4 linked regions of the Anolis sagrei genome follow. The protein of the gene in region 4 purifies or fractionates together with the protein of the main gene of each other region. This does not show direct contact. Links are inferred from orthologs where the notes say so. Each region holds a gene or a part of one and is shown on either strand. Other genes may lie near its edges.

Region 1 (7,595 bases), on a different chromosome or scaffold from region 4:
ACATTTCTCTTGCAGGGAAGTACCTGAGCGACTCTCCATTATGTTTTCTTGCACGTCACATTGAGTAGTGGAAAGCAGAACTAGCCCTCCTACCGTGCAGGTGGTTTATACCAGAAAGGAAAACCATGAGCAGTAGACCTTCCCTTACAGACCCCGTGAGTTCCTCATTATATAATTGTGGCATGAATCTCTTTGTTTGCTCTGCTAATCCCTGTGGTACTCTTTCTTGTTTCCTTTCCATGGTTAGTCAGGTACCATGTACTGCTCCCCACAGGAAAGTCATAGCTGCAGGTAGTCATCTTGACCGGACCATAACATCAGGCTGGGCAAGTGAATCCCTTACAGGCCAGTCTGTATGTAGGTAAGTTCCACTAAACTCAACAGTACTAGCAGTGATGCTTTATATCAGGCCTTCTTAAACTTTTCCCACTCACAACCTGTTCCTCCCAAAAAATCTTTATGTGATTTCACATATATCTATATAAATAAAAATATAATGTTTGTTTGTGGGATTAACATATCTCAAAAACCACTGGATGAATTGACACCACATTTGGACACAATATACTTATCAGGCCAACAAGTGACCATCAGACATAAAAACACTGAAAAACACAGGGACTTGAAAAGCCAAAAAAGCAAAAAAACGCTACATGTGCAAAAGTGACTCCCCTTGGCAAACAAAACACACAATAGCATATCCAAACCCTCTTCCAGACTACAGTTCCCAACATCCCCTAGACCAGACCCTTTAGGAGAGGAGGATGATCCAAATGCACTGCTTCCAAGCTGCAAGCTTTCTTCTCCTTGGATTTCTTTGAGAGCATCCTAATCCCTGCATATTTCCAATTTCCTATTACTGGATTGCAACTCCCAGCAATCCTCCAGATAGATAGATTAGATGGAGATAGGTAGGTAGGTAGATGGATCAGGAGGACTGTTGGGAGTTGCAGTCCAAGAATAGGTAGAGAAGGAAGAAAGGAGGGAAAGAGGAAGGGAAAGAAAAGGTGAGAGGAAGGAAGGGAAGAGGAAGAGAAGGTGGGAAGGAGAGCAAGAAAGAAAGAAAAAAGAGGAGGAAGGAAAGAGGGAGAGAAGGAAGGAAGTAGAGAAAGAAAAAAGAGGAAGAGGGAGGGAAGGTTAGTCACAGCAACGTGTGGCGGGTACAGCTAGTAGGTATATAAAATAGGTATACAAGTCAAGCATGTATTCAATATAAATCATCAGTTGCAAGGCATACTAAAGAGGCTGTTTTTCCTTTTTGTGGAGTACTGCTGAAGCACTTTCTGCAGAGTCCACTGCAAACATTATGTGATAGGTTTGTTTAAAAGCCTAATACAGCCACCAGGTGGCATCCAGAAAATGTTCACAAGTTTTCAAAGGCCCTTCCAGACAGGCCCTATATCTCAGGATCTGGTCCCAGTTTTCCTGTTTATCCCAGATTATCTGGCAGGGCGGATTCATATAATCCAGTTTAAAGCAGAAAACCTGCGGTCAGACCCTGGGAGATCGGGCCTGTACAGAAGGGGCCAAAGGCCCCTTCTACACTGACATATCATCCAGATTGTCAAAACACATCCAGATTTCAACTGGATTATATGAATTTGCACTGCCATATAATCCAATTTAAAACAGACAATCTGGATTTTAAACGGCAGTGTAAAGGGGCCAAAGCTTCATGACTTCTTCATCAGGCAAAGCTGTGAAAATCATAGAGGAGAAAATTGTGATTATGTTACAGTCTCAGACCCCTTCTACACTGTCATAGAAAATCCAGATTATCTGATTTTAACTGGATTATATGGCAATATAGACTCATATAATCGGGTTCAAAGATATCTGCTTTGATAATCTGGATTATATGGCGGTGTAGAAGGGGCGTCTGAAATTTTGTCAATTACAATTGTACTGCCAGATTGAAAAGCCACCTTCCTGATTGGTCTCAGGGGGACTGGGGTAAAGAGCAATACAAGACAGGTAACAAAATTTCAAATAATTTAGTAACAGAAAAGTAACTTCTCTGTCCCAGTCCTATGCAAAGCCAAGCTTTCCTTTCTTTGACAGAGACATTGTGTTCTTCTGTGTATCTCTACCCAGAAATAAACCTACTGAAGGACTCATCTGAAGTATAAGAGTTAGTATAGAATTTTGCTCCAACTGATTTAGAACAACAATAAGGGTAAATAGTTCATGTGATCCTACGCAAGCATTTTTCAATCAAAATGACTGTTCTGTGACCATTAGAGAAGATTAGGCGCCCTTCCACACAGCCCTATATCACAGAATATTTATTTATTTATTTATTTACAGTATTTATATACCGCTTTTCTCACTCCTAGGGGGACTCAAAGCGGTTTACACATAGATAATGGCAAAAAGTAAATGCCTTACAACTACAATAGTAAAACCACACTTTAAACATAAATCATATTAAAAACGGTACATCCCCAAATATCAAAACAGCTATTAAAACCATAAAACAATCTAATCAGTCGAGTCACCGTTCCAGTCCTGGTTCCACTAAAAGCTGCATACATCTATTGTTTGAAGGCCTGGTCCGAGAACCATGATTTTAATTTTTTTCTAAAGGTCAGGAGCGAGGGAGCAGATCTTACCTCCTTTGGGAGTGTGTTCCATAGGCGGGGGGCCACAGCCGAGAAGGCCCTGCTCCTTGTCCCTGCCAGCTGCATTTGCACTGTTGACGGGAGCAAGAGCAGGGCCTCCCCAGATGATCTTAAATTGTGAGGTGGGACATAGGGGCAGATGCGTTCAGACAAGTAAGCTGGGCCCGAACCGTATAGAGCTTTATAGGTCAAAACCAGCACTTTGAATTGGGCTCGGAGATGTTCCGGCAGCCAGTGGAGCTGGCATAACAGGGGGATGGTATGCTCCCTGTATGCCACCCCAGTTAGTAATCTGGCTGCTGCTTGTTGAACTAACTGAAGTTTCCAAACTGTCTTCAAAGGCAGCCCCTTTGCAGAAATTTATTCGGGATGTAACCAGAGTGTGGACCACCGTGGCCAGATCAGACTTCCCAAGGTACAGGCGCAGCTGGTGCATGAGTTTTAACTGCAAAAGCTCCCGTGTCCACCGCCAAAACCTGGGTTTCCATGCTCAGCGATGAATCCAGGATCACTCCCAAGCTGTGAACCTGCGTTTTCAGAGGGAGTGTAACCGCGTCCAACACAGGCTGTAACCCTATGTCCTGTTCGGTCTTTCGACTGACCAGGAGGACCTCTGTCTTGTCTGGATTCAATTTCAATTTGTTAGCCCTCATCCTGTCCAACACAGCAACCAAGCACCGGTTCAAGGTCTGAACAACCTCCTTAGTGACAAAACTATGCATTCCCTGATTATAAACTATCTTTTATTGGAAGTGGGGGGGGGGGGGTCACCTTCGACTACAACCCCATCCACACAGCTGAATAAAATCCCACATTTTCTGCTTTGAACTGGAATATAAGGTAGTGTAGACTCAGGGCCCTTCCACGCATCCATATAACCGAAAATATCAAGGCAGAAAATCCCACAATATCTGCTTTGAACTGGGTTATCTGAGTCCACACTGCCATATAATCCAGCTGTTTGGAAGGGACAGAAAATGCCATTAACTCGGTCTAATCAAGCTTCCAAAGAACATGGCCTTCATGAAAGAGAAAAGCCAAATAATGAACAGACAGTTGAAATTCTGAGGAAGAAATCACTATAAAATCGTTAACATAATAATATGGGAAAAAACAAATATAACTCCAAAACATGTAATAGAGGACCAAAATGATTAAGTATAAATGTAAATGGAAGGTTTTTCTGTAATACTTTGGTCATTTAATATAATTCTTTCTCGAATTGCCCCCTTACAAATCAAATGTATGTGGAGCATGTGGCCCACGTTGGAAATCAGGGGTATAGACCTCTATAATGCAGTTCCCCGGTGGCGCAGTGGGTTAAAGCGCTGAGCTGCTGAGCTTGTTGACTGAAAGGTCGCAGGTTCGAATTTGGGGAGCAATGTGAGCTTCCGCTGTCAGCCCTAGCTTCTGCCAACCTAGCAGTTCGAAAACATGCAAATGTGAGTAGATCAATAGGTACCGCTCCGGCGGGAAGGTAATGGCGCTCCATGCAGTCATGCCGGCCACATGACCTTGGAGGTGTCTACGGACAACGCTGGCTCTTTGGCTTAGAAATGGAGATGAGCACCACACCCCAGAGTCAGACATGACTGGACTTAATGTCAGGGGACAAACTTTACTAATGCAGTTAAATGCAGTTAAAGTGCATTGTATGTGTAGATTCAAACTAACCTCTAAGGCCCCTTCTACACAGTCCTATATCCCAGAATATCAAGGCAGAAAATCCCACAATATCTGCTTTAAAATGGGTTATCTGAGTCCATACAGAGATAATTTTCTGACTTGATATTCTGAGATATAGGGCTGTGTGAAAGGTCCTTAATGATGACCATGGTTTTGAACTCGCACAGCCGGAAGTTCAGAGCGTGAGGTCTCTTTTAACTATTTCTATCTCTATGTTCTCCTCCCAACCAACCGCTCCTTTCCAAGGTTCGTGGGCGGGGCAGGGGGCGGGGCTGCGTCCTTTTCCGGCGGCAAGATGGCGGCGAAGACGCGTGTGGTGCCCAGCGACCTCTTCCCGCTGGTCTTGGCCTTCCTGAGGGAGAACCACTTCGACGGGGCGGCGCGCGCGTTCGGGAAGGCGGCCGGCGTGGTGAGGGCCTTGTGGGGGGCGAGGCCGGGCCCTGTCGCTCTCCGGAGGGGCGCTGCATGCGGGGAGGGCTGCTCCGCCACGTGGGACCCGGGCCTCCCTCCTGAGGGGCGCCCTGATCCGCAGGGAAGGCCAGGCGAGACCAGGTCCAGTTGGGCTTCCAACTCCCAGAATACCTGGCCATTGAACTTGCAAGGGCTTCTCGGGGTTGGAGGCCTCAACAGCTGGAGGGCCCCAGTTGGAGGAGGCCTCCTTTAGGATATATTACAGTGGCTGTCTGCTTAGCATTGCTGCTTTAAAAGAATGTGTAAAAACACCAAAGCTTCCAACAGTAGGGCCCCTTCCACACAGCTGAATAAAATCCCACATTATCTGCTTTGAACTGGGATATATGGCAGTGTGGACTCAGATAACCCAGTTCAAAACAGATATTGTGGATTATTCTGCCTTGATAGTCTGGAATATAAGGCTGTGTGGAAGGGTCCTCTAATGTGCAGCCTTATTTTGTAGAGGTAATTATGTAAAAAAAAAGGTGTTATTTTGCATCAGTTTATTTCAATTTATGCATTTTAATTTGATATTAGCTGTTTATATTTTATTTTGTTGTACTGTAATTCTGGGCTTGACCTCATGTTAGCTGCCGTGAGTTCCCTTTGGGGAGATGGTGGGGTATAAATAAAGTTTATTATTATTATTCTTTGAAACACAACAAGATGAGTCCACAGCAGACAAGATCACTCTGCTGGCTGTTGTATTGGATCACACGTCAGACACTTCCCAAGTGTATTGTCGAAGGCTTTCATGGCCGGAATCACTGGGTTGTTGTAGGTTTTTTCGGGCTATATGGCCGTGTCTAGAGGCATTCTCACCTGATGTTTCGCCTGCATCTATGGCAAGCATCCTTAGAGGTTGTGAGGTCTGTTGGAACTAGGAAAATTGGTTTATTTATCTGTGGAATGACCAGGGTGGGACAAAGGACTCTTGTCTGCTGGAGAAAACTGGACATCTAATCACCTCTCAACAGAGGTTTGCTCCAGGCACTGTCAGGCAATTATATGATAATCAAAGTGGTCAGTTGAAACATTCACACCTAGCTCCAGCAGACAAGAGTCCTTTGTCCCACCCTGGTCATTCCACAGATATATAAACCCCTTTTCCTAGTTCCAACAGACCTTACTACCTCTGAGGATGCTTGCCATAGATGCAGGCGAAACATCAGGAGAGAATGCCTCTAAACCGTGGCCATATAGCGCGAAAAAAACCTACAACAACCCACTTCCCAAGTGTCTAGGACTGTATGATGTATCGACAAATAATGTATGCAGATCCCAGTAAGGTGGCCTTCTCCAGCTGGCAGATGGTAATTTTGTCAGCGCTGATTGTCTTTAGGCACTGCACCCAGTGCCTTTAGGCACTGCACCCAGGTCTTTAGGTCTTTAGGCACTGCACCCAGTGTGCTGATCACCCCTGGGACCACCTTGACTGGCTTGTGCCAGAGTTTTTGCAGTTCGATCTTTAAATCCTCATATCATGTCAGCTTTTCCAGTTGTTTCTCTTCAATCCTGCTGTCGCCTGGGATTGCAACATCGACGATCCATTATTATTATTATTATTATTTTTATTATTATTTGAGTAAATAGGGATATAAATCAATGGAGAAACATTCACAGAAACTAGCTTAATATAAGTCGTATGAGTGGCTTGAAGGGGGCTGTAGATTTCAGACATAGCTTGGATATGGAGGTCAGTGTGTAAGTAAGAAAAACCAAAGGTTTGGCTTTGTCTCACTAAGGACCCTTCCATGCAATTGTATAAAATCCACATTGAACTGCATTATATGGCAGTGTGGTCTCAGATAACCCAGTTCAAAGCAGATATTGTGGATTACCTGCCTTGATATTCTGGGTTACATGGCTGTGTGGAAGGGCCCTAAGAAGCCTGAAAGGGCCTGTGATGCAAGTGTGTTGGCAACAAGACAACAGTTGCAATAAAGAAGATCCTTCTGAATGCATGTCCGAAACAGTTATTTGCTCTGATTATTGAAACCTTTGTGATTCTGTAACATTATGGAGAAGTGTTGCTGTTTTGGCATGCTGCTTTGATGTAAAATTTACTTAGGAGGCTCCACCATGGGCCCTTCCACACAGCCCTATATCCCAGAATATCAAATCCCACAATGTCTGCTTTGAGCTGGGTTATGTGAGTCCACGCTCAGATAATGTGGGATTTTCTGCCTTGATATTCTGGAATATAGGGCTGCGTGGAAGGGCCCCATGTCACATTTTCTCATCCCTATTACGGTTTCAGCAGCATTGCTGTAAGAGTCCCATACAGAGATCCTATATGGAGTTGTATGCACTATTCTAGGAATATGAGAATTTATATCCCATAATCTAGGAAAACGTGAATAGCTGTGTGTGTGTAATATTAAGATTAACTTGAAAGGAAATCTGGGAAGACATACAGGATTTTTCAAACGAACCTAATTTCAAAGCAGTATATTCCACGATGGCAGCATGTTACAATCGCACAAAAACTTACAAGTGGTTTAATGAGTTATGAGATTTTACTAACCATTTTGACTTGGAAACAAATCTGAAACATAATTCCAAAATGGATAGCATATCATTAGGCCTTATGTTGCAGGGCAGTGTGTTTGCTGGGAGAGGCATCTTGCCATAATCATGTGAAACTCCCACCATGTACTCAAGCACATATTTTGCCCTGTTTACTTTTGTGTCTATTTTACTGCTAGATAACTTTCCTGTCTATGAATAGTCTTACCACATTAGTTAAGACATATGTATTAAATTTGCCTGTGTATTTAACCGAATTGCTATGAATGTATACATTGGTACAGAGCCCATCAAATACCTGAAATC
Region 2 (7,577 bases), on a different chromosome or scaffold from region 4:
GCAAACATTCAATTTAAAATCACACAACATCAGAAATGCAAAATGGACAGTTATAAACTAATTACCAGAAAAGAATTAATGTTAAAGTAATACAAAATACCCACTTAACTTTCAACATGAGTTTTGATTTACACTCTATTGTTACTATATGTCAATTCTGTATCTGCATTTGGTGCAAGTTTGTTATATTTTTGTGTTTTTAATCTACGTAATTAATTGTATGTGTTTTATGTTCATGTGTTTTTGACTTTGTTGTACCTGCCTTGAGCAATCAGAAAAGGTGGGCAATAAAAAATCCATTGTTATTATTCTCACTCCTGTTTGGATCTATTGTAGGGATAGGGCAAAAACCACATTCGCTTTTGCTTTAGCTAAGAAATAACAACATGATGAAAGCTTACACATTTATGTCTACATATATACAGTACCGTTCTTGCAATATTTGTGCAAAATTTTAGGGCTCTTAAAGAATGCAAAATTATAGTGCTGTGATTTCACTGAACATGCCATAGTTGCACCTATGGACTCGTGGTTTTTGTAGTTTAGGGAGGAGTTGTCAGTAAGACACTAGTTCTGGTGCTTAATGAACTGAAAATCCCAGGATTACACTCACAGAAATGAAAATGAAACGGATGCTTAAGAGCAGCTTAGAGCAACCCTAGGGTCCAACAAAAGCATGGGAGGGGTTCAGTGAAAAATCTTAAAATTCACATTTGAGAGGAATTTTAAAATAAAACTACAAAAGGCTAACTATTAGATTTACGGTCTCCATAATATTGATAGTAGTATCAGTTATGTAGTTACTGGCTACACATCTGAACAGGAGTGATTCATAGGCAACTGATTCCACATTTTTTAAAATTATTTTCTTTCTTGTTCTGTTTTTGATATGAAAGACATTTGGGGGCACTGGGATATTATTCATAAAAAATCAAGAGTAAAAAAATACTCAAAACCTAGATATGATTATTATATAAGAAATTAGGAAATGTGTTTAATTTAAGTGTAAAATCATCCAGAATATATTTTGATTAAACAAACCAGGGATAGGGTTCTGGTCGCTTCTGGTGAGTGTCGTGAGTTCTGGTGAGCTTCTGGTGAGTTCTGGTTTAGCATGGTGAGTGTGGAACATGTCACATTATCACAGGGTGTCTGTGCCGTGCACCACTGGAGAAATTACACTATTTAGCCGGTATTGCACCACTTGACATCCACCAGAAAGTAGCAACCAATAGTGAAAGGACCAAGGCAGTGACCTCTCCGGCCCATTCCCTGCTTGGATATCAGCCAGCACTCCAACAACCTAAATCAAGAAATAGTTTTTTTAAGATCTACAGATGCAATAACTGGAACACCTCAGCATTTTGTAGATATATGTTTTGATGTGTAACTTTTATGGAGGTATGTTTTAGTGTGTGTATTTGCAGTGTTTTTGCTGTGCTTATGTATTTTAAGTGTTTTGTAACCCGCTTTGAGCTACAGGGAGCTGGATAAGAAATAAAAATATTATTATTGTAAGTAATGTAGGCAAAAGTATGATAGTTCGGACCCAATGCTGGTTGCGTGATGCGAAGATGTTACGAATTTGAATGTGTTTGCATACGATATCCGGATAGCCTTAAGCACTATGCTTGGCTGCTTGTTGTCCCCCCTACTTTATGTCCCCCCCCCTTCCTGCTGAGCTAACTTGCCACGACTCTGTTGCACCTGTGTCTCTTACTCGCTGCGTTGTCTCAGCATTGGGTCCCAGCTATCATACTTTTGCCGTAACGCAGTTCAACTGCTATCGCTCAGTGTTATCGAATGGGATTTGTAGTTTGCTGAAGCAGCCACAGCTTTGGCAGAGAAAGCATCAGATCTTGCTAAATCCATAGCACTGAGTCATGGAAGTGAAAGTGGTCACAAACTGCATGAATTCTACAATGTTGATCAGGCATGGGCCAACTTCGGCCCTCCAAGTGTTTTTGGGCTGCAACTTCCACAATTCCTAACAGCCCTTGGGCTGTATTGTCAAAGGCTTTCATGGCCGGAATCACTGGTTTGTTGTTGGTTTTTTCGGGCTATATGGCCATGTTCTAGAGCAGTGGTTCTCAACCTGTGGGTCTCCAGGTGTTTTGGCCTACAACTCCCAGAAATCCCAGCCTGTTTACCAGCTGTTAGGATTTCTGGGAGTTGAAGGCCAAAACATCTGGGGACCCACAGGTTGAGAACCACTGTTGTAGGTTTTTTAGGGCGATATGGCCATGGTCTAGAGCAGTGGTTCTCAACCTGTGGGTCTCCAGGTGTTTTGGCCTACAACTCCCAGAAATCCCAGCCAGTTTACCAGCTGTTAGGATTTCTTGGGGTTGAAGGCCAAAACATCTGGGGACCCACAGGTTGAGAACCACTGTCCTAGAGGCATTCTCTCCTGACGTTTCAACTGCATCTATGGCAAGCATCCTCTGAGGTAGTGAGGTCTGAGGATGCTTGCCATAGATGCAGGCGAAACGTCAGGCGAGAATGCCTCTAGAACATGGCCATATAGCTGGAAAAAACCCACAACAACCCAGCACTTAGGCTGTTAGGAATTGTGGGAGTTGAAGTCCAAAACACCTGGAGGGCTGAAGTTGGCCCATGCCTAGTGTAGATGTGACTTTGATCTACCCACTATTTCTCAGGGTGCATCTACACCGTAAAATGAATATAGATTGATACCACTTTAAATGCCATGGCTCAAAGCTCCGGAAGCAGGGCAGCGGTCCTTTAAAAACGCTTAAGATGTATAGATGAAAAAAGAGTAAGTCTCCATAAGCAGGCAAGGCGAAAGAGCCTTTTACTGACTCCCTTCCGCCTTGCTTTCCTTTACAATGTTTCCGGACAGAAACCTTCACCTCCCTGCCTTGTATCTAGTCTCTCCGAAAGGTGCAATTACAGAACCGGCCCTTTTGGTACCAACCTTTTGGATCTTGAGCTCCTCCAGCTGCGGCGGCGCTTCCGGGAATGGCGGCCACGTGGGAGCCTATGGAGGCGGCCATGGCGCGTGACGTCAGTACCCTGCGCCCGGAAGTGTCAGCGCCTCCACTGTATTGCTGCTGCTTTTTACTCACCTCCTAGAGGGTGAATTAGCTAGACTGTGTGTCTCTCCCTCCCTGGCTGATAATAAAAAGAAGATGCGCAAGAGGATCACAAAAACAACAACAGAATCGAAAGACTATAAACAGGAAGGGTTAAAATAGTTTACATTGCACCCCACTCCCATCATTGGGTCATTATGCTTCACATCACAATCATAGAATCAAAGAGTTGGAAGAGACCTCATGGGCCATCCATTCCAACCCCATTCTGCCAAGAAGCAGGAATATTGCATTCAAATCACCCCTGACAGATGGCCATCCAGGCTCTGTTTAAAAGCCTCCAAAGAAGGAACCTCTACCACAGTGGTTCTCAACCTTGCTAATGCCGTGACCCCTTAATGCCGTTCCATATGTTGTGGTGACCCCCAACCATAATATTGTTTTCGTTGCTACTTGATACCTGTCATTTTAGTACTGTCATAAATCATAATGTAAATATCCGATATGCAGGATATATTTTCATTCACTGGACTAAATTGTGCACAAATACCCAATATACCCAAATGTGAATGCTAGTGGGGTTGGAGGGGGTGGGGGGTGGGGAGGATTGATTTTGTAATTTGGGAGTTGTAGTTGTTGGGATTTATAGTTCACCTATAATCAAAAAGCATTCTGAACTCCACCGGCGATGGATTTAAACCGAACTTGGCACAAAGAACTCCCATGACGAACAGAAAACACTGGAAGGGTTTTGTGGACATAGACCTTGAGTTTGGGAAGAACTTCCTGACTGTGAGAGCCATTCACCAGTGGAACTCTGCCCCGGAGTGTGGTGGAGGCTCCTTCTTTGGAAGCTTTTAAACAGGGGCTGGATGGCCATCTGTCAGGGGTGATTTGAATGCAATATTCCTGCTTCTTGGCAGAATGGGGTTGGACTGGATGGCCCATGAGGTCTCTTCCAACTCTTTGATTCTATGATTCTATGAGTTGTAGTTCACCTATATCCAGAGGAGCACTGAGGACTCAAACAAGGATGGATCTGGACCAAACTTGGCACAAATGCTCAATATGCCCAAATGGGAACACTGGTGGTGCTTGGGGGAAATAGACCTTGACATTTGGGAGTTGTAGTTGCTGGGATTTATAGTTCACCTACAATCAAAGAGCATTCTGAACTCGACCAACAATAGAATTGGGTCAAACTTCCCACACAGAATCCCAATGACCACCAGAAAATACTATGTTTTCTGATGGTCTTTGGCGACCCCTTTGACACCCCCTCACGACCCCCTCAGGGGTCCCGACCCCCAGGTTGAGAAACACTGCGTCTACCACACTCTGGGGCAGAGAGTTCCACTGCTGAACGGCTCTCACAGGAAGTTCCTCCTAATGTTCAAATGGAATCTTCTTTCTTGTAGTTTGAAGCCATTGTTTCGCGTCCCCGTCTCCAGGGAAGCGGAAAACAAGCTTGCTCCCTCCTCCCTATGACTTCCTTTCACTTATTTATACATGGCTATCATGTCTCAGCTTTCTCTTCTTCAGGCTAAACATGCCTAGCTTCTTAAGCCGGTCCTCATAGGGCTTGTTCTCCAGACCCTTGATCATTTTAGTCACCCTTCTCTGGACACACTCCAGCTTCTCAATATCTCTCTTCAATTGTGGCGCCCAGAATTGGACACAATATTCCAGGTGTGGTCTAACCAAGGCAGAATAGAGGGGTAGCATGACTTCCCTGGATCTAGACACTACACTCCTATTTATGCAGGCCAAAATCCCATTGGCTTTTTTTTGGCTCATGTTTAACTTGTTGTCCACGAGGACCCCAAGATCTTTTTCATACGTACTGTTTCGAGCCATGCTTCCCCCATTCTTTGCTATAAACAGGAAGGGTTGAAATAGTTTACATTGGACCCCACTCCTATCACAAGCTTACCCCATCATCAACAGGGCATATTGTCAAATATTTAAACATGGCTCGTCATGTCACCTTTTAACTACCTTTTCTCCAGTCAAAACATCTGCTCTTTAAACTGCTCCTCAATTTGGATGGTAAAACATCAAAACATCCAGGCGTCCCCTGGCAATGTCCTTGCAGACGGCCAACTCCCTCACACCAGAAGCGATTTGGAGTTTCTCAAGTCGCTCCTAACATGGAAAAAACAAAAACAAAACCATTTTCATTGCCCTTTTCTAGAAATATCCCAGTTTTGTATCATTTCCAGAGACTGAAAACTTTATAGACTACAGCTCACAGATTCCCCCAAAGTTCATTGGCTAGAGTGTTTGGTATTTGAAATATGACACATATGGAGGACTGAAAATTGAGAAACACTGTGAAAGAAAGTCCTTAATACACATCAGTGCTCTACGATTTGTGTAATCATCATTGGGCCTCAAACTGGTTTCAGGATTTCCTATGTAGTCATCTACACAGCAAAGCAACTTTTAAAAAATAGTTTGAAATGGACTTAAGTGGTCAGTGTAGATGGGCACTAAGTCTTGTTTGAAGATGCTGGGAATTTAATTTAGAACTGCTTGCCCTCCAAAATGTGTGCTATGGTGCAAGTTACAGTTCTTCTCTATAGAAACGTGTCTGAAAAATCTCTCTCTCTCTCTTTGCACAACTACTGTTCATAAAGGAGTCAAATTTTCTCTTGAAACAAAGCCCTTGACAACGTCTCAGTGTTAAAATTATACTAAAACTTCTGTAAGCACAAAAATTATATCTGTGGCTTAATCTACTTGTTCTGTCGCGCGCTGGGCCTGTAACAGCTGTCTTTTCTATAGGACGTATACTTTAAGCCCAGCGGGAAGCCAGGGCGCCTCAAAGAGAGGTTCTCAGGGATTTTTCTGAAGTAATGGTCTTTAGAGTCTTTAATGATACAACAAAGTCTTTATTGTGGAACAAACAACAAATCTTCAATGGTTCAAACAACACTTCAAGGCTTTCTTAGTCTAGTCTTCAATGGACTGGTACCTGACTTTGGTTAACTGAACTTTCTCTGTAGAAAAAAACCCTTTTTAACCTCTCCCAGGCTGCTTTCTATCTATGCCTCATCAGTGTGAGTCCTACTACCGATTCCAAATGCGTCTGGGTATCGAGTAGACCTACCAGCCGAGGCTGGAAGATATTTCAGCTGGAGTTCAGTGGATCTGTAATGCTGTCCTCCCTTCGAGAATTCTTTGAAACTTCAGGGCTGTTTTCCCTCTGTTGCTGTGAGGCTGAGAGCTCTCAGCCAGAGTTTTTGGGACCTTTTCCCTGGAATTTTTGTTTCTGTATCCCTGGATGTTCCTTTTCCCTGGATGCTCTTAAGATAAGAAGCTTTTCTATGGGATGAGCTGGTCTATGTCCTATAGTTTAGCTACCTTGTGTGAGACTGCCCAAAATGGCTCCTTTCCCTCCCAGAAGCCTGAACAAGGGGCGGAACCAAAGCTTAATTAAGATGGACAGGAGGCCTGCCCTATAACTGCAAACTTTAACAGAAATAAATAAAGTTGGAGCTCCTGGTACATCCGTACCAGCACACTACTTGTGTTAGCAGGAGAAGGGGAATTACCATATTTTCTGGCGTATAAGACGATGGGGCATATAAAATGACCCCCAGTTTTTCCAGTTAAAATATAGAGGTTGGGATATACTCGCTGTATAAGACTACTCCTCCAACGAACACCAAATATTTCTTTTTAAAAAACATCTGATTTGATTTCAATATGGTAATTTTCCTATTACCGTACTTCCTTCTCTGCCTCTCAGATCTCACACATGCGTGTCTGCTCAGCTTCACTGCACTCCTCAGGAGCAAGATCTGAGAGGCAGAGAAGGAGGTGCAGTAATAGGATACAAGGGCAGGCCAGACGGGTGAAAGAGGTGTGTTTTTCTGGGCACAGCACTGAGGTGTGTTTTTCTGGGCACAGGATGCCTGCAGCTTACCCTCCCTTCACTTACACTTCCCTAATGAGGCACCCCCTCGCCTTGTCATCGGGACTGCGTTAAGTCCCTTCTTTCCACGAATCTTGGTGAGTGGATTTTCTTATACCATACTTGCACAGCGCTGCCCTTGCTCCTTTCATACGGTTGCCGCTTACTGTGGGATGCGTCCGTGGCTGTTTTTGAGCTCCCTCACCATACATTAGTTGTAATGTATTGTTTTATATGATTGTGGGGCATTAAATCTTTGCCATTTATTATGTTGGAAACTGCTTTGAGTCCTCTTAGGGATTGAGAAAAGCAGTATAGAAATACAATAAATAAATAAATAAAATATGCAGCAACCACAGATTCTCCGGTCCGACTCGGAAGTTTCAGCATCCGCCCTATAAGACCACACTTGCCGTATAAGAAGACCCCCGACTTTTGAGAAGATTTTCCTGGGTCAAAAAGTAGTCTTATACGCCAGAAAATACAGTATCTCTCTAGGAATTTGCTAGGTCCTGCAAGTGATTCTGTAATATACCAAAAGTTGCAGGGGAGGACTTAGTAAATTCGTTGAGGTCCTTCAATTCTATAGTGCGTTGGGGCTGAGA
Region 3 (6,861 bases), on a different chromosome or scaffold from region 4:
AGTTAGGGACCAGAGCACTGTAAGAAAAGTGGAGTTGCTTGAAAAGTGGAGCCCAGGTTATTTTGGTTTGCAAAGCATTTTGGCCACTGAAAAGCTTAAACAACACATCCAGAAGAGTTTCTGCACACATTCAAAAGTTATTAAAGGAGTTGTGCATCAATAATAAAACATACGAGTATAAAAAGCAATTAATAAAATAATGATTAAACATTGTTTTTTCATAAAATAGTCCATTCATGAAATAGATGGTAACAACACTAAAACATCTGCACTAGGAAGTCTCTACATGCACCAAAAAAAAAACAAAAAAAAAAACGGTTGGCATTCGTCTAGTATCAGCGTTCAGAGCCAGCATTCTGAAAATCCTGTTTTGAACAACCTGAAGTGGACCATGATGGTCTTTCCAGATGAATTCAAAGACCTAACTGTGTGAGATACTCAGATTCCATGTTGCAGAAAGCTTTATAAACTGTTAACAAAACCTAAACATCCTGGTATCAAAGAGGCAGCCAATGCAAAAGCAAAGTATTCTGCACTGGCTGCAGCTCCAGACCAAGTTTAAGAGTAGCTTCATGTGGAGCTTAGGTTACCAATGTCAAGACCACTACCATCAGGCTTATTTGGTCTGGCTGAAGCCAGAGCATACCAGCTGATGGTGATAGAAGGATTACAGTGACAAAGGTGAAACACTTTCCACAATATTGGATTTCCATTTCAGGTATTGCATCTCTCAGCAAATTATACGTTATGCTTTATACCTGATAAATAGGATGTTCTTTCTTCAGTTTTGTCTGCTACCTAGAATTGCATTGGCCTCTCCATTGATGCCCAATAACTCTCCTGTATACTTTGTTGTGTTCTAAAAGAACATTTTGGTCTCATTGCCTTTGCATTTTTAAAGAGAAATCTGGGCTGGTTTTGTAGCCTTCGGGTATCTAATGCCTGTTTTTAGTTTGACAGAACAAAAATAGTGCAACAACATTTGCCCTACTAATACAAGGTCCTGTGCTGCCAGTGCTGAATTTAGGCCAATAATGTAATTTAAGTGGTGTGGAAGGGCAGTTGGGTCTTGTGTGAATGTGTACATTTCTTCACTGCAGAGGTCTAAGAAGACGAAGCACAACCACAGATATACTGTATCCCAGTAGTGCTATAGATGATTATGCTTTCTCATTCCCACCAACTGAGCTTGAGATGAGACTGAAAGAAGGGCCTCTCCTGAAGATCCCAATATGGGATGCGGTCAGCCAAATATCCTAGACCTGAACCGTCTAGGACTTTAAAGGTCATAACCAGCCTTTGAATTGTGCCTGGAAACAGACTGGCAGCCAGTGGAGCTGCTGCAACAGGGGAATTATCTGCTCTCTATAGGCAGCCCCAGTGAGCGGCTTGGCAGCAGCTCTTTGGACCAGATGAAGTTTCTGAGCATTCTTCAGAGGCAGCCCCATGTAGAGGGCGTTACAGTAATCCAGACGGGATGTAACCAAGGTGTGTACCATAGTGGCCAGATCTGGCTTCCAATGGCACAGGTGCAGTTGACACACAAGTTTTAATTGAGAAAAGGTCCTCCTAGCCATCGCAGATACCTGGGCCTCCAGGTTCAGTGCAGAGTCCAGGAGAACCCCCAAACTGCAGACCTGAGTCTTCAAGGGGACTGTGACCCCATCCAGCACAGGCTGGATCCATATTCCCTGATATGCCTTTCCACTGACCGGGACTACCTCTGTCTTGCCTGTATTAAGTTTCAGTTTGTTTGCCCTCATTCAGTCCCTTACTGATGACAGGCACTGGTTTAGGGTCAGAACAGCTTCCTTGGCATTAGGTGGAAAGGAGTAGTAGAGTTGGGCGACATCTGCATACTGGTGGCACCAAACTCCAAAACTCTGGGTGACCTCTCCCAGCGGTTTCATGTATATGTTCAACACCATGTGGGACAAAATGGAAACCAGATAACACGCAGTACATGTTAAAATTCCCTTTTCTACATAATAATTAAAAGCCCGGTAGCCACTCTGGCAATGGCCACACAAACCACAGAAGAGAGTGTTGCACATAGCTGTCTCTTCTTATCCAGCTAAGAAAAATGTATTAGGAACACCTAGGCCCCATCTACACGGGCTGTTAAGTGTAGTTTCAAAGTGGTATTGAAGAAAGTGGTTTTGCTGTGCAGATGATTACAGAGGAAGCCCTGGAACCAGTTTGCGGCCTGGAAGGTGATAGTACAAACCACAGAGCACTGGTGCACAATGGGAGCTTTCCTTTGCATGTTTTGGTGAAAACTTACCACCTGGCCACAGCAGTTTGAAGCTAGCGTTGAACTACATTAAATAGTTGGTAGACAGGAACATAGTGATCTTCCCTGCTCATATATATATAGAGAGAGGGAGAGATAGATAGATACAGTAGAGTCTTGCTTATCCAACCTTCACTCATCCAACGTTCTGTATTATCCAATGCAGTCTGTGTCCTGCCCCCACCCACAGCTGTTTTAATACACTGCAATGTTTTGGTGCTAAATTTGTAAATACAGTAATTACTACATAACGTTGCTGTGTATTGAACTGCTTTTTTTGTTGATTTGTTGTAAAACGTGATGTTTTGGTGCTTAATTTGTAAAATCATAATGTCATTTGATGTTTAATAGGCTTTTCCTTAATCCCTCATTTATTTATTTTATTGTGTCAGGAGCGAACCAAACAGTTGTCTTGCATTAAAACAAAGAAACAAAACACAAAATTTGCAAACTTTTATTAAATGTCCTTTGACCAGTAGCTGGCCACTTGGAGTGCCTCTGATGTTGCTATAAGAAGGTCCTCCATTGTGCATGTGGCAGGGCTCAGGCTGCATTGCAGTAGGTGGTCTGCTGTGGTTTGCTCTTCTCCACACTCCCATGTCGTGGATTCCACTTGCCTCAAAGCACATGTTTTTTTGGTGCTTAATTTGTAAAATCACAATGTAATTTGATGTTTAATAGGCTTTTCCTTAACCCCTCCTCCTTATTATCCAACATTTTCACTTATACAGTGTTCTGTGGATAAGCGAGACACTACTGTGTGTGTATACACACACACACACACACACACACACACGTAAGTTAAAATATGTATGTGTGTATATATGTGTGTATATGTACACCCTGTCCCCTAGGGCAGAGTACAAATAAAGTATTATTATTATTATTATTATTATTATTATTATTATTATTTGAAACAGAACAAGATGAGTCAACAGCAGAGATCATTCTGCTGGTTGTTGAATTGGATCACACGTCGGACACTTCTGGCGTGTCTAGGACTGTGTGATGTATCGATGAATAATGTGTGCAGATCCCAGTAAGGTTCCCTTTTGCGGCAGGCAGATGGTAATTTTGTCAGTGCTAATTGTGTTTAAGTGCAGGCCAAGGTCTTTAGGCACTGCACCCAGTGTGTCAATCATCACTGGGACCACCTTGACTAGCTTGTGCCACAGTCTTTACAGTTCGATTTTTAATTATTATTATTATTATTATTTTATTATTATTATTATTACTACATATTACGTGCAGCACTAAAGAGCCCAGGAATGCCCAAGACAGGTTCCCCTTGAGCTCTCCACTGTGAACAATACTTTTCCGGTGGTGTATCTAGACTGTAGAATGAATGCAGTTTGACACTGCTCTAACTGCCATGGCTCCAGAATGCGGGGAGTGGCGGGTCTTTCTCGGCCAGAGTGCGGGGCTGGGGCGGGGAGGGGGCGAGGCGGGCCAGTGGGCGGAGAGCGAGAAGCTTCCTCCGGGCGTCACAGAGAGGCGGCTGTCGCGCGAGCATTCTCCTCCTCGGCCGCCTTACGGTGGAAGCGCCATCCGACATTAGAGAAGCAAAGCCGTTCCCCTTTTGGACCGGAAGCGCCTCTGAGGACTGAGCAAAGACCACTCCAGCAGCCTGTGTGTCTGCTCTAGGAGGCCGGAAGCGGAAGTAGCGGGAACAGCCGCCGAGGCCGGCTGGCACCCGGAAGCGCCCGGGTTGATGGCGGCTGGTCGGAGTTTGAGCCGCTCCGAACGGAAAGCGGCGGCTCGGGCCGAGTTCCTCCGACAGGAAGAACAGCGGGAGCGGCGCAGACAGGTACAGCGGGGAGTGCCACTGAGGTACGAGGCCGGAGGGCAGAGGAGGAGGAGGGGGAGCGGGCACACGCCCCCTTCCCTGAGCGGGCCTTGTGCCCAACTGCCCGTGGTTCTGCCCGTCGTGCCGCTTTGTGCTGTGTGAAGAGGGGCGTATTTTACCAGTCCTCAATCTTCTGCCATTCTGCTTCAGTGTGACGTGAGAAGGGAAAGAGTGTCTTTCACTCTCTTTTCTGACCACTTAACCGTTATAGCTCCCCTTGCTGTCTCAATGTTACAGTCTTTGTTGTGTGTCTTTAAATTATTTTAATTCTTCACGATCCTGAGGTGGACCTTGTTCAGAGGGGCTTTGCCTTTGCTTGCCTCTGAGGCTGAGAGAGTGTGACTTGCCCAAGGTTTCCCTGGCCAAGCAAGGAACCAGATCCTGGTCTCACAGTGCCTCCGGCTGGTTCTACACTGCCATATAATACAGTTTGAACGGCATTGTATGGTCAGCGTAGAGCCATATACTGCATTTCAGTGCAGTTCAAACTGTGTTATATGGCACAGTAGAACCAGCTTCGGTCCATCACTCCACTCATAACCAAAACTAGTTCTTCAAAACCTTCCTGGTTTGTAAGCAGTGTTCTCAAATATTTCAGCATTGATACTGGCTAGTTCAGGGCTTATAGCTAAGTGTACTTAGCAGCAAGAATCATCCCCAAGGCCTCCTTTATGTAACAAGTTCTTATTAGAGTACACTCGCCTTTTAATACTTAATTGAAGAGTAATTTTAAAAATTGTGTGTAGGTGTTTGTAAGCAATTCTATTCAGTTATTTCTTGTTGATGCATAATGAAACAGTCCTCTGTTTCCTCAGAAATAAAGCCCACTAAATTATTCCCAAGCAAGTGTGTACATTGGGCCCTTGGTGTTTGATGTTTTGTCTTATGTGTTTGTGTTTATATGTTGGGTTGTTTAAATTTTGTCAGTATGGATGCAGTTGTTGTTGTATTCGGGCACTGAATGTTTGCCTTTTATGTTTGGAATCCACCCTCCCTTTGAGGAGATATAACAGAATATAAATAAAGTATTATTATTATTATTATTATTATTATTATTATTATTATTATTGGTGTCCAGTTGTGTTTGATTCCAGGACCCCTGTGGATCCCAAAATTCATGGGATGCGCAACTCTCGTTATACACAAAATGGCATTCCTTATATAAAATGCTGAACAACTCAAAGTGATTTCTAGAAGTGTTCCCCACTCACCCCCAAATATTTTCAAGCCATGGTTGATTGACTCTATGGATGTCATGGGAAGACTGTATAGAATTTTAGTTTCAGACTAACTACACACTCTACCCAGGATTTGTTGAGCTATTTCCACTCATGGGATGGCTTCTAATGAAAGTGTCCAGACACTTATCTTTTTGTTTAATCATAGGTGTCGCAAATTCTCCATAAGCCAGCCGCAGAAAGGAGCGCTGATGAGACTCTCTTTCTATCTGAGTGTCAAGAGATCGTACGAGATCTGGAACGGCTTCGCAAGAAACGTGAGCGATTGCAACACCGGCTGGAGGAAGTATGTATCCCTCTTATTTTACTACTATTAAGTATGTGCTTAGTATCTAAACCACTTACCACATCTTAAATGATGTAGCTGTGGTCAATAGAAGAGGAGAAAGAACGAGCTGCTTACCTGTATATGTTTCTTTGAGTGGTGATCTGCGAAATTCGCACATCTGGGTTTGTCCGCACATGCATGGTGCAATTCAGAACCTTCTAGATTTCTAAAATGAAACATTTTGGTGATAGCCCTGCCCACTCTCCCCATAGAGTGCAAGTATCCCAGGGCAGGGCTGAGCCTCCCATCTGCTAGACCAGCAGCTAAGGAGAAGGAGCATGCTAACAGCAGGGAAGATGGGCAGGAATGTGCGAATTTCACAGATCACTACTTGAAGAAACACGGTTACAAGTGAGCAACTCATCCTTCTTCGTAGTGTCTGTGAAATCACACATATGAGTGATTGGCAAGCTACTCCCCAAGGAAGGATCATGCCAGTGAAGGGAGAAGTACAGCTTTGCCAAAGGCCGCTTCCTTTATGTGCAAGGCATCTGGTGTGTAATGGCTGGCGAACCTGAGTGGAGTGGACCACGTCACCACCCGGCAGATGTCCTCTAGAGGGACTCCATGCAAAAAGGCTTGCAATGCAGCCATCGCCCTGACTTGAGTGAGCCTTGACTTGCTATGGTTGACAGCCAGCGAATCGACAAGGCGGACAAATCGTTGTCATGATCCAAGAGGAAAGACATTGCAAGGTGATTGGTTGGCTCAAAGCATGGCTGCGATACTTGAGAAATAATCTTGGTGATTTTCTGTGTGATGGTGTCCTATGGACATAGAAAACCAACAGTCTCCTCACATCCAAGGAATGAAGGGCCACTTCCAAGGCTGAAGAGTGATTTGGAAAGAACGCTGGCAAGATGATGTCTTGGCACATATGGAAGTGGGAGACGACTTTTGGTAAGTAGGTAATGTCCGTGCGAAGGACCACCTTGTCTTTGTGGAGATGAAGATGAGGCGGAGCTGCTTGCAATGCACACAGTTCGCAAGCACATCTAGCTGAAGTAATTGTGACCAGGAATGCCATCTTCCATGAAAGGAAGTTAGCTCAAATGGCAGCTTGGAGAGTTGGGGTAGAACCAGTTCCAGATTTCATGTCAGGAGTGGGGGTGTGACTGGTAGATGTATATTCTTGTCACCTTTGAGGAAGAGCTGA
Region 4 (7,145 bases):
TGGAGGAGATGTAGTTTTAAAAGGAAATTTTCAGAGATGTTCCCAATGCCCATATGTTTTGATTTACTGCCATATTGGCCTGTTTCTGCAGTAGGCCTTTGTTTACAGAAAATGCTGTCTGTTTGAGAAAATCGTGCTGCGAAGGGTAACAGTACATCCAGACAAAACCAGCTAGCTAGTGGATACCTAGAACCCTCTAGTTTACCAGGCCCTCTGGAATTATGTTTGAAACAGACTAACAGATATGATTGATTCATTAAGGCAGTCATGGTCAGAAACAATAGACTATAGTTGTACTATAGTTGTTAGGGTCCCACATGTGATAATATGTCAATCAAAATCATAAACAACCAATGAGCAGCTGTAAAGCTAGCTTAGACCAATGAAATGATTTGTCTGTGGGAACCAATGAGAATGTGTATGCCAAAAATGATAAAAGCTCTGCAGACAAACCTTTGATTGCATTCCTATGTGCATGTTTGTCGATACAGTGTTCTCTCGCTACTTCGCGGTTTGCTTTTAGCGGACTCGCTGTTTTGCGGTTTTTCAATAAATATTAATTTAAAATATATATCGCGGTATTTTTGCTGTTTCATGGGTTTTTGCTGCCTTCGCTCTCCAACACACTTTCCCTCCTCGGTCCTTTCTCCCTTGAAGGGCCTTTCCTTCCTGCGTTCTCTCTCTTCACCTGGTGAAGGGAAAGGTGAGGAGGGCTTGCTTTCTTTCCTTCTTTGCCACCGCACTGACAGGGAGGCAGGTACGGGGAGCCCCGGGGGAAGGGGGGGAGGAGGAGGAAACCTCATGCACAGCTACCCATGCGGAAGATTCAGGAGTGTTTTAAAAGAAACAGGTACAGTACATGTACTGTACAGAACAGTGTGGGAAAGGTTATTAAGGGAAAGGATTATGTAGTGTATATGTGTGGGGAGGGTTTATTTTAAGTTTATAAAGACTTTAAAAAGTGTAGGTAAAAGGTAAAGGTTGTCCCCTGACATTAACTCCCCTAAGTTTGGGCATTTGGAGTGCCCCCTCCCCCCCCCCCATCGGTGCACCTTCACTTCTTTTTTGACTTGGGTGATGGTTGGAGTATTTATATAGGTATCTATCTGTGTGTGATTTTGGCAACTGGACTGATTGATAAATGGCAAATAGAGGGAGAAAACGTGGAGACAGTGACAGACTTTGTATTTCTAGGTGCAAAGATTACTGCAGATGCAGACTGCAGCCAGGAAATCAGAAGACGTTTACTTCTTGGGAGGAAAGCAATGACCAATCTCAATAAAATAGTGAAGAGTAGAGACATCACGCTGGCAACCAAGATCCACATAGTTAAAGCAATGGTATACCCTGTAGTAACCTACGGATGTGAGAGCTGGACCATAAGGAAGGCTGATAGAAGGAAGATAGATGCTTTTGAACTGTGGTGTTGGAGGAAAGTTCTGAGAGTGCCTTGGACCGCGAGAAGATCCAACCAGTCCATACTTCCAACTGCTCACTGGAGGGAAGGATATTAGAGGCAAAGATGAAGTACTTTGGCCACATAAGGAGAGGAGAGGAAAGCTTGGAGAAGATCATGATGCTGGGAAAATGGAAGGAAAAAGGAAGAGGGGCCAACCAAGGGCAAGATGAATGGATGGTATCCTTAAAGTGACTGGCTTGACTCTGAAGGAGCTGGAGGTGGTGACGGCCAACAGGGAGCTCTGGCATGGGCTGGTCCATGAGGTCACGAAGAGTCGAAAGCAACTGAACAAATAAACAACAACAAAATTAATATATGTGCTAGCACTTGGTATTGATCGTGCTTCCTGCAGTGGGGCAACAAATACTCCGTCACACTCTGGAAGCCATGGTTTAATTATTTCAGGATTTGAGGTCCTCTGAATGATATGACACTTATTTGCCTGCTTGCTCTGCCTCTTTAGCTCCAGTTCTCCCCAATATCTTCTATATAAATAAAAATGTAATGTTCGTTTGTGGGATTAACTTAACTCAAAAACCACTGGACGAATTGACACCAAATTTGAACACAAGACACCTATCAGGCCAATGAGTGACCACCACTCAAAAAATTGAGCTTATCATTTGGGAGTTATAGTTGCTGGGATTTATAGTTTACTTACAATCAAAGAGCATTCTGAACTCCACCAATGGTGGAATTGAACCAAACGTGGCACACAAAACTCCCACGACCAACAGAAAACACTAGAAGGGTTTGGTGGGCATTGACCTTGAGTTTGGGAGTTGTAGTTCACCTCCATCCAGAGAGCACTGTGGACTCAAACAATGATGGATCTGGACCAAACTTGGCACGAATATTCCATATGCCCAAATATGAACACAGATGGAGTTTGGGGGAAATAGACCTTGACATTTGGGAGTTGTAGTTACTGGGATTTATAGTTCACCTACAATCAAAGAGCATGTTGAACCCCATGAGATAGAACTCATAGAAATGAGGAAAATGGAAGGAAAAAGGAAGAGGGGCCAATCAAGGGCAAGATGGATGGATGGTATCCTTGAAGTGACTGGCTTGACTGAAGGAACTGGGGGTGGTGACGGCTGACAGGCTGGTCCATGAGGTCACAAAGAGTCGGAAGCGACTGAACAAATAAGCAACAACATCAATATGTGTGGGTTTTCTGTAAACTCTGTGACTCAACTATTGATTGGGTTTGCAACCGTACCTCGCGAAGGCTGATCTGGCCGGGGTGGTCCATGCCTTGGTCACCTCTAGATTGGACTACTGCAATGCGCTCTACGTGGGGCTGCCCTTGAAAACGGCTCGGAAGTTCCAACTGGTCCAACGAGCAGCGGCCAGGATGTTAACTGGGGCCCCTTACAGAGAGAGGTCAACCCTCCTGTTCAAGGAGATCCACTGGCTGCCGTTTATTTTCTGAGCCCAATTTAAGGTGCAGGTGCTTACCTACAAAGCCCTGAACGGTTTGGGACCATCCTACCTGCGTGACCGCATCTCCGTCTACAAACCCACGCCCTCACTTCGGTCAGCTGGAGAGGCCCTGCTTATGATCCCGCCTGCGTCGCAAGCGCGTTTGGTGGGGACACGAGACAGGGCCTTTTCTGTGGTGGCCCCCCGACTCTGGAACACCCTCCCCAAAGATCTTAGACAGGTCCCTACACTGGCAGTCTTTAGAAAGAACCTGAAGACCTGGCTGTTCCGATGTGCCTTCCCAGAATAGGAAATCTCCAATACCAAGTCCCAGAAGCACTTTATTAAAACTAAGATTACTGCACACTGCACTTGCCCTATAAGCCTTATATACCACCTGTCACATCAGCACTTTTAATCCTGTACCCATTACTCTGGCCCGGCCCAGTTTTATTGTGTCTTAGTGTATTGTTTATTGCTTGTTGTTTATTTATATTGCTTTAATTGTTTTTAATTTGCCTTTGGTTTGTATTGTTGTATTGTGCGTTGAGGCCTTGGCCTTTGTAAGCCGCATCGAGTCCTTCGGGAGATGCTAGCGGGGTACAAATAAAGTTTAATAATAATAATAAAATAATAATAATTTGCAGATAACTACTATGACATTTAGAAATGGCAGTTTTCCTTCATTTTCTTTTTCCATAGTGAATTGGATGTTTGGGTGGATGCTGCTGAGGTGGTCCAGGAACTTGTTCAGCTCTTTTTCTCCATTTTCTCTGGTTATCCCTTCTTTTCCAATATCATAAGCGCTGGTTGTTTCCAAAATGGCAGCATGGGTGGGGAGAATTAACAGGAAAACGAGGAAATGGTTTCACTCCTTCAGCCCCTCCCTCCCTTGGAAAATGGGTTCTCCTTCTCTCTCTCTCTGGCGCCTCCTTGTGGCCTCCCCCTCAGATAGTGAAACTAGCCAAAGTTATTATAATAACGGACATTTTGTAAATGTCGCTACAGTTTTCCATTTCTCTGTGGAGGCGCCTTGTATTCACAGAAGCGCCAGAGCAGACACAAACAGCCATGGGCCTAATCTGACCTTCCAGCTGGAAACGGAACAAAGATGGCGCCGACTTCAACAAGCAAACGGCAGCGAAAAGGCCTGGAATTGAAAGCCCGCACAGCGCATGCGTAGAATGCTCGACGTCAGTTGAGGCGGGCTTACGTTACCCCGCCCCCTCCCCGGCCTGCTCACGCACTTCCGGTGCGCCAAGGGATCCTGAGCGCGTGGGGCTCTGCGTGCTTGCACTTCCGGTCTTGGAATTTCAGGCGCGTGTGGCGTTCGTGCGGTCTGTGATCGGCAAGCAAGATGAGGCCCGGTGAGAGCGAGGAGAGGGAAGGAAGGAGGGGAGCCCTTAAGGCCGGAGGGAGGGAGGGAGGGCCCGAGAGGCCGCCCGGAGCCCGGCCTGACGTCTACCTTGTGCTCGTCCTGCAGGTTTCAGCCCTCGCGGGGGACGTGGGGACCGCGGAGGACGCGGCGGCTTCGGGGATCGTGGACGCGGAGGCTTCCGAGGAGGTCGAGGTGGGTTTCACGCTCGGTTTATTTTCAGTCCAAGCTGCCAGAAGTTCCTTTTTTGGATTACTCCCAAGTTTGTAGTAGGCGCAGAAACCTGCAGAAAGTTCTTCCTCGTGTTTAATTCTTCTTCTTCTTCTTTATTTATTAATTATGTATTTACTTCATTTGTATACCGCTATTCTCAGCCCTAAGGCGACTCATGGCGGTTTACAACAATCAAGCAAGAACAAGGCAAACAATCAGGCAAAAATTCAATGCGGCATCAACAAGATACTTAAAAACAATTAACACAGAAACAAATTAAACAATTTAACAGTAATAAACATTCAAGTGGTGCCTCATAACTACAATCATGATCCAAACTCGTCAGTCGTGGTTCCATTTCCTGAAGTCATTGCACTGCTTATTCAAGCGCCTGTTCAAATAGCCAGGTTTTCACTTTTCCCCGGAAAACCATCAAAGAGGGAGCCAATCTAATGTCCGTGGGAAGGGCATTTCACAGCCGAGGGGCCACCACCGAGAAGGCCCTGTCTCTCGTACCCGCCAGCCGTGCCTGTGTTGCAGGCGGGATCGAGAGCAGGGCCTCCCCGGAAGATCTCAAAGTCCTAGTGGGTTTGTAGGTGGAGATGCGATCGGATAGGTAACTTGGAAACTTTATACCCCGCCACCATCTCCCCAAGGGGACTCGGGGCGCCTTACATGAGGCTAAGCCCAACAATTACAACAGTGCAAATATACAACATAAAAATACTATAATGAAAATAAAATACAAGAAGCTGCCAGAAGTTCCTTTTTTGGATTACTCCCAAGTTTGTAGTAGGAGCAGTAACCGGCAGAAAGTTCTTCCTCGTGTTATTATTATTATTATTATTATTATAAAACTTTATACCCCGCCACCATCTCCCCAAGGGGACTCGAGGCGGCTTCCATGAGGCCAAGCCCAACAATTACAACAGTGCAAGTATACAACATAAAAATACAACAGTAAAAATATAATGAAAATAAAATACAAGAAGCATTACAAAGTAACACACACGGTGCAAATTAAAAGCACAATAATTGGGCACAGTGGGCAGGGCCAGTTGCAAAGTTAAAAAGATTTAAAACACTGGGTGGGATGAGCAGTGTAGTGTATCTGGAAGGAGGATCTGATGGGACGAAACAATGGGGTTTAATTGCACTGGAGGATATTTATTTATCGTGTCATCTGCAACCAGAACATTGTATTACATTTCTAACAGGACAAAACAAACAAACAGATAAAAAAAACACAAATTTTGCAAACTTGGTAGCTGATTAAATGTCCTTTGACCAGTATCTGGCCACTTGGAGTGCCTCTGGTGTTGCCACAAGAAGGTCCTCCATCGTGCATGTGGCAGGGCTCAGGTTGCATTGCAGCAGGTCGTCTGTGGTTTGCTCCTCTCCACACTCGCATGTCGTGGATTCAACTTTTTAGCCCCATTTCTTAAGATTGTCTCTGCATCTCGTGGTGCCAGAGCGCAGTCTGTTCAGCGCCTTCCAAGTCGCCCAGTCTTCTGTGTACCCAGGGGGGAGTCTCTCATCTGGTATCACCCATGGATTGAGGTGCTGGGTTTGAGCCTGCCACTTTTGAACTCTCGTTTGCTGAGGTGTTCCAGGAGGATAAAATAAAGTGCATCCGAGGGCATTTTATGCAGGGTTTGGTCAAGGTCAGGGATTGTTGATCATTCATTGAAGGCACACTGGAACAGCCAAGTTTTTAGGCTCTTCCTGAAGACTGCCAGGGTGGGCGCTTGCCTAATTTCTCCGGGGAGCGAGTTCCAAAGCCGAGGGGCCACTATAGACAAGGCCCTTTTCCTCATCCCCACAAGTCGCGCTTGCGATGGAGGCGGGAGCAAGAGAAGGGCCCTCCGGAAGATCGAAGGGGTTGTGTAGGTTCGTGGAAGGAAATGCAGTCACGAAGGTAGTTAGGTTTTTGTCTGCCATTTGAAGCTATTTCTCCATTGTGTCCTAGTTTTTTCAAAAATGACAAAAGATTGAGAACATGGAAAAAGAAAAACACTTGTGAATTCATAGCTCCATCTGAACAACAACTTGCTCAGGCATGGGCAAACTTAGGCCCGCCAGGTGTTTTGGACTTCAACTCCCACATTTCGTAAGGGTAGGCTGTTACGAATTATGGGAGTTGTAGTCCAAAACACCTGTTTGGTGTTTTGGACTTCAACTTTGTCCATGCTTGAGTTAGCTGATATTTAGGGAAGATAAGATTTCTGGAATCAGGATATTCTTTGTGCTATTTGGACAAGCTTAAGAAGCTACCCCAAGGTTCCAAATTGTTTGAGGAGAATATTGTTGCACCAGCTCCACTGGCTGCCAGTCTGCTACCAACCATAATTCAAAGTGCTGGCTTTAGCGTATAAAGCTCTAAACAGTTCCAGCTTACCTGTCCGATCATATCTCTCTCTATGAACCACCTCAGAGATTAAGATCGTCTGGGAAGGCCTGCTCTCAGTCTTGCTTCCTTGCAAATGCTACTGCAAATGCGAATTTAATTTAAATTTTTAGTGGTATTGGAATTATATGTGTTTTAAAGCATTGAATAATTGGAGTTGGAAGAGATCACAAGAGCCATCCATTCCCACCCCTTGCCATGCAGGAACACCCAATCAAAGCACCCCCGGCAGATGACTATCCAGTTTCTGTTTTAAAAATCTC

Evidence for each region.
Region 1: the proteins of FBL (region 4) and NOLC1 fractionate together in Homo sapiens (co-fractionation; 3 studies listed by BioGRID, with this or other methods). This does not show direct contact. The link is inferred for Anolis sagrei from reciprocal best matches to the Homo sapiens genes FBL and NOLC1.
Region 2: the proteins of FBL (region 4) and DDX24 purify together in Homo sapiens (affinity purification with mass spectrometry; 3 studies listed by BioGRID and IntAct, with this or other methods). This does not show direct contact. The link is inferred for Anolis sagrei from reciprocal best matches to the Homo sapiens genes FBL and DDX24.
Region 3: the proteins of FBL (region 4) and SIRT7 purify together in Homo sapiens (affinity purification with mass spectrometry; 3 studies listed by BioGRID, with this or other methods). This does not show direct contact. The link is inferred for Anolis sagrei from reciprocal best matches to the Homo sapiens genes FBL and SIRT7.

The regions. Positions count from the first base shown.
Region 1 is NC_090023.1:147,385,017-147,392,611, reverse strand, and holds the start of NOLC1 (nucleolar and coiled-body phosphoprotein 1), read left to right. Parts: upstream 1-4,577; 5' UTR 4,578-4,602; coding exon 4,603-4,716; intron 4,717-7,595. UniProt on the Homo sapiens protein: Nucleolar protein that acts as a regulator of RNA polymerase I by connecting RNA polymerase I with enzymes responsible for ribosomal processing and modification.
Region 2 is NC_090021.1:317,347,356-317,354,932, forward strand, and holds the start of DDX24 (ATP-dependent RNA helicase DDX24), read right to left. Parts: upstream 3,006-7,577; 5' UTR 2,936-3,005; intron 1-2,935. UniProt on the Homo sapiens protein: ATP-dependent RNA helicase that plays a role in various aspects of RNA metabolism including pre-mRNA splicing and is thereby involved in different biological processes such as cell cycle regulation or innate immunity.
Region 3 is NC_090022.1:113,750,483-113,757,343, reverse strand, and holds the start of SIRT7 (NAD-dependent protein deacetylase sirtuin-7), read left to right. Parts: upstream 1-3,838; 5' UTR 3,839-4,004; coding exon 4,005-4,100; intron 4,101-5,525; coding exon 5,526-5,663; intron 5,664-6,861. UniProt on the Homo sapiens protein: NAD-dependent protein-lysine deacylase that can act both as a deacetylase or deacylase (desuccinylase, depropionylase, deglutarylase and dedecanoylase), depending on the context. Specifically mediates deacetylation of histone H3 at 'Lys-18' (H3K18Ac).
Region 4 is NC_090034.1:87,654,765-87,661,909, reverse strand, and holds the start of FBL (rRNA 2'-O-methyltransferase fibrillarin), read left to right. Parts: upstream 1-4,129; 5' UTR 4,130-4,244; coding exon 4,245-4,254; intron 4,255-4,370; coding exon 4,371-4,457; intron 4,458-7,145.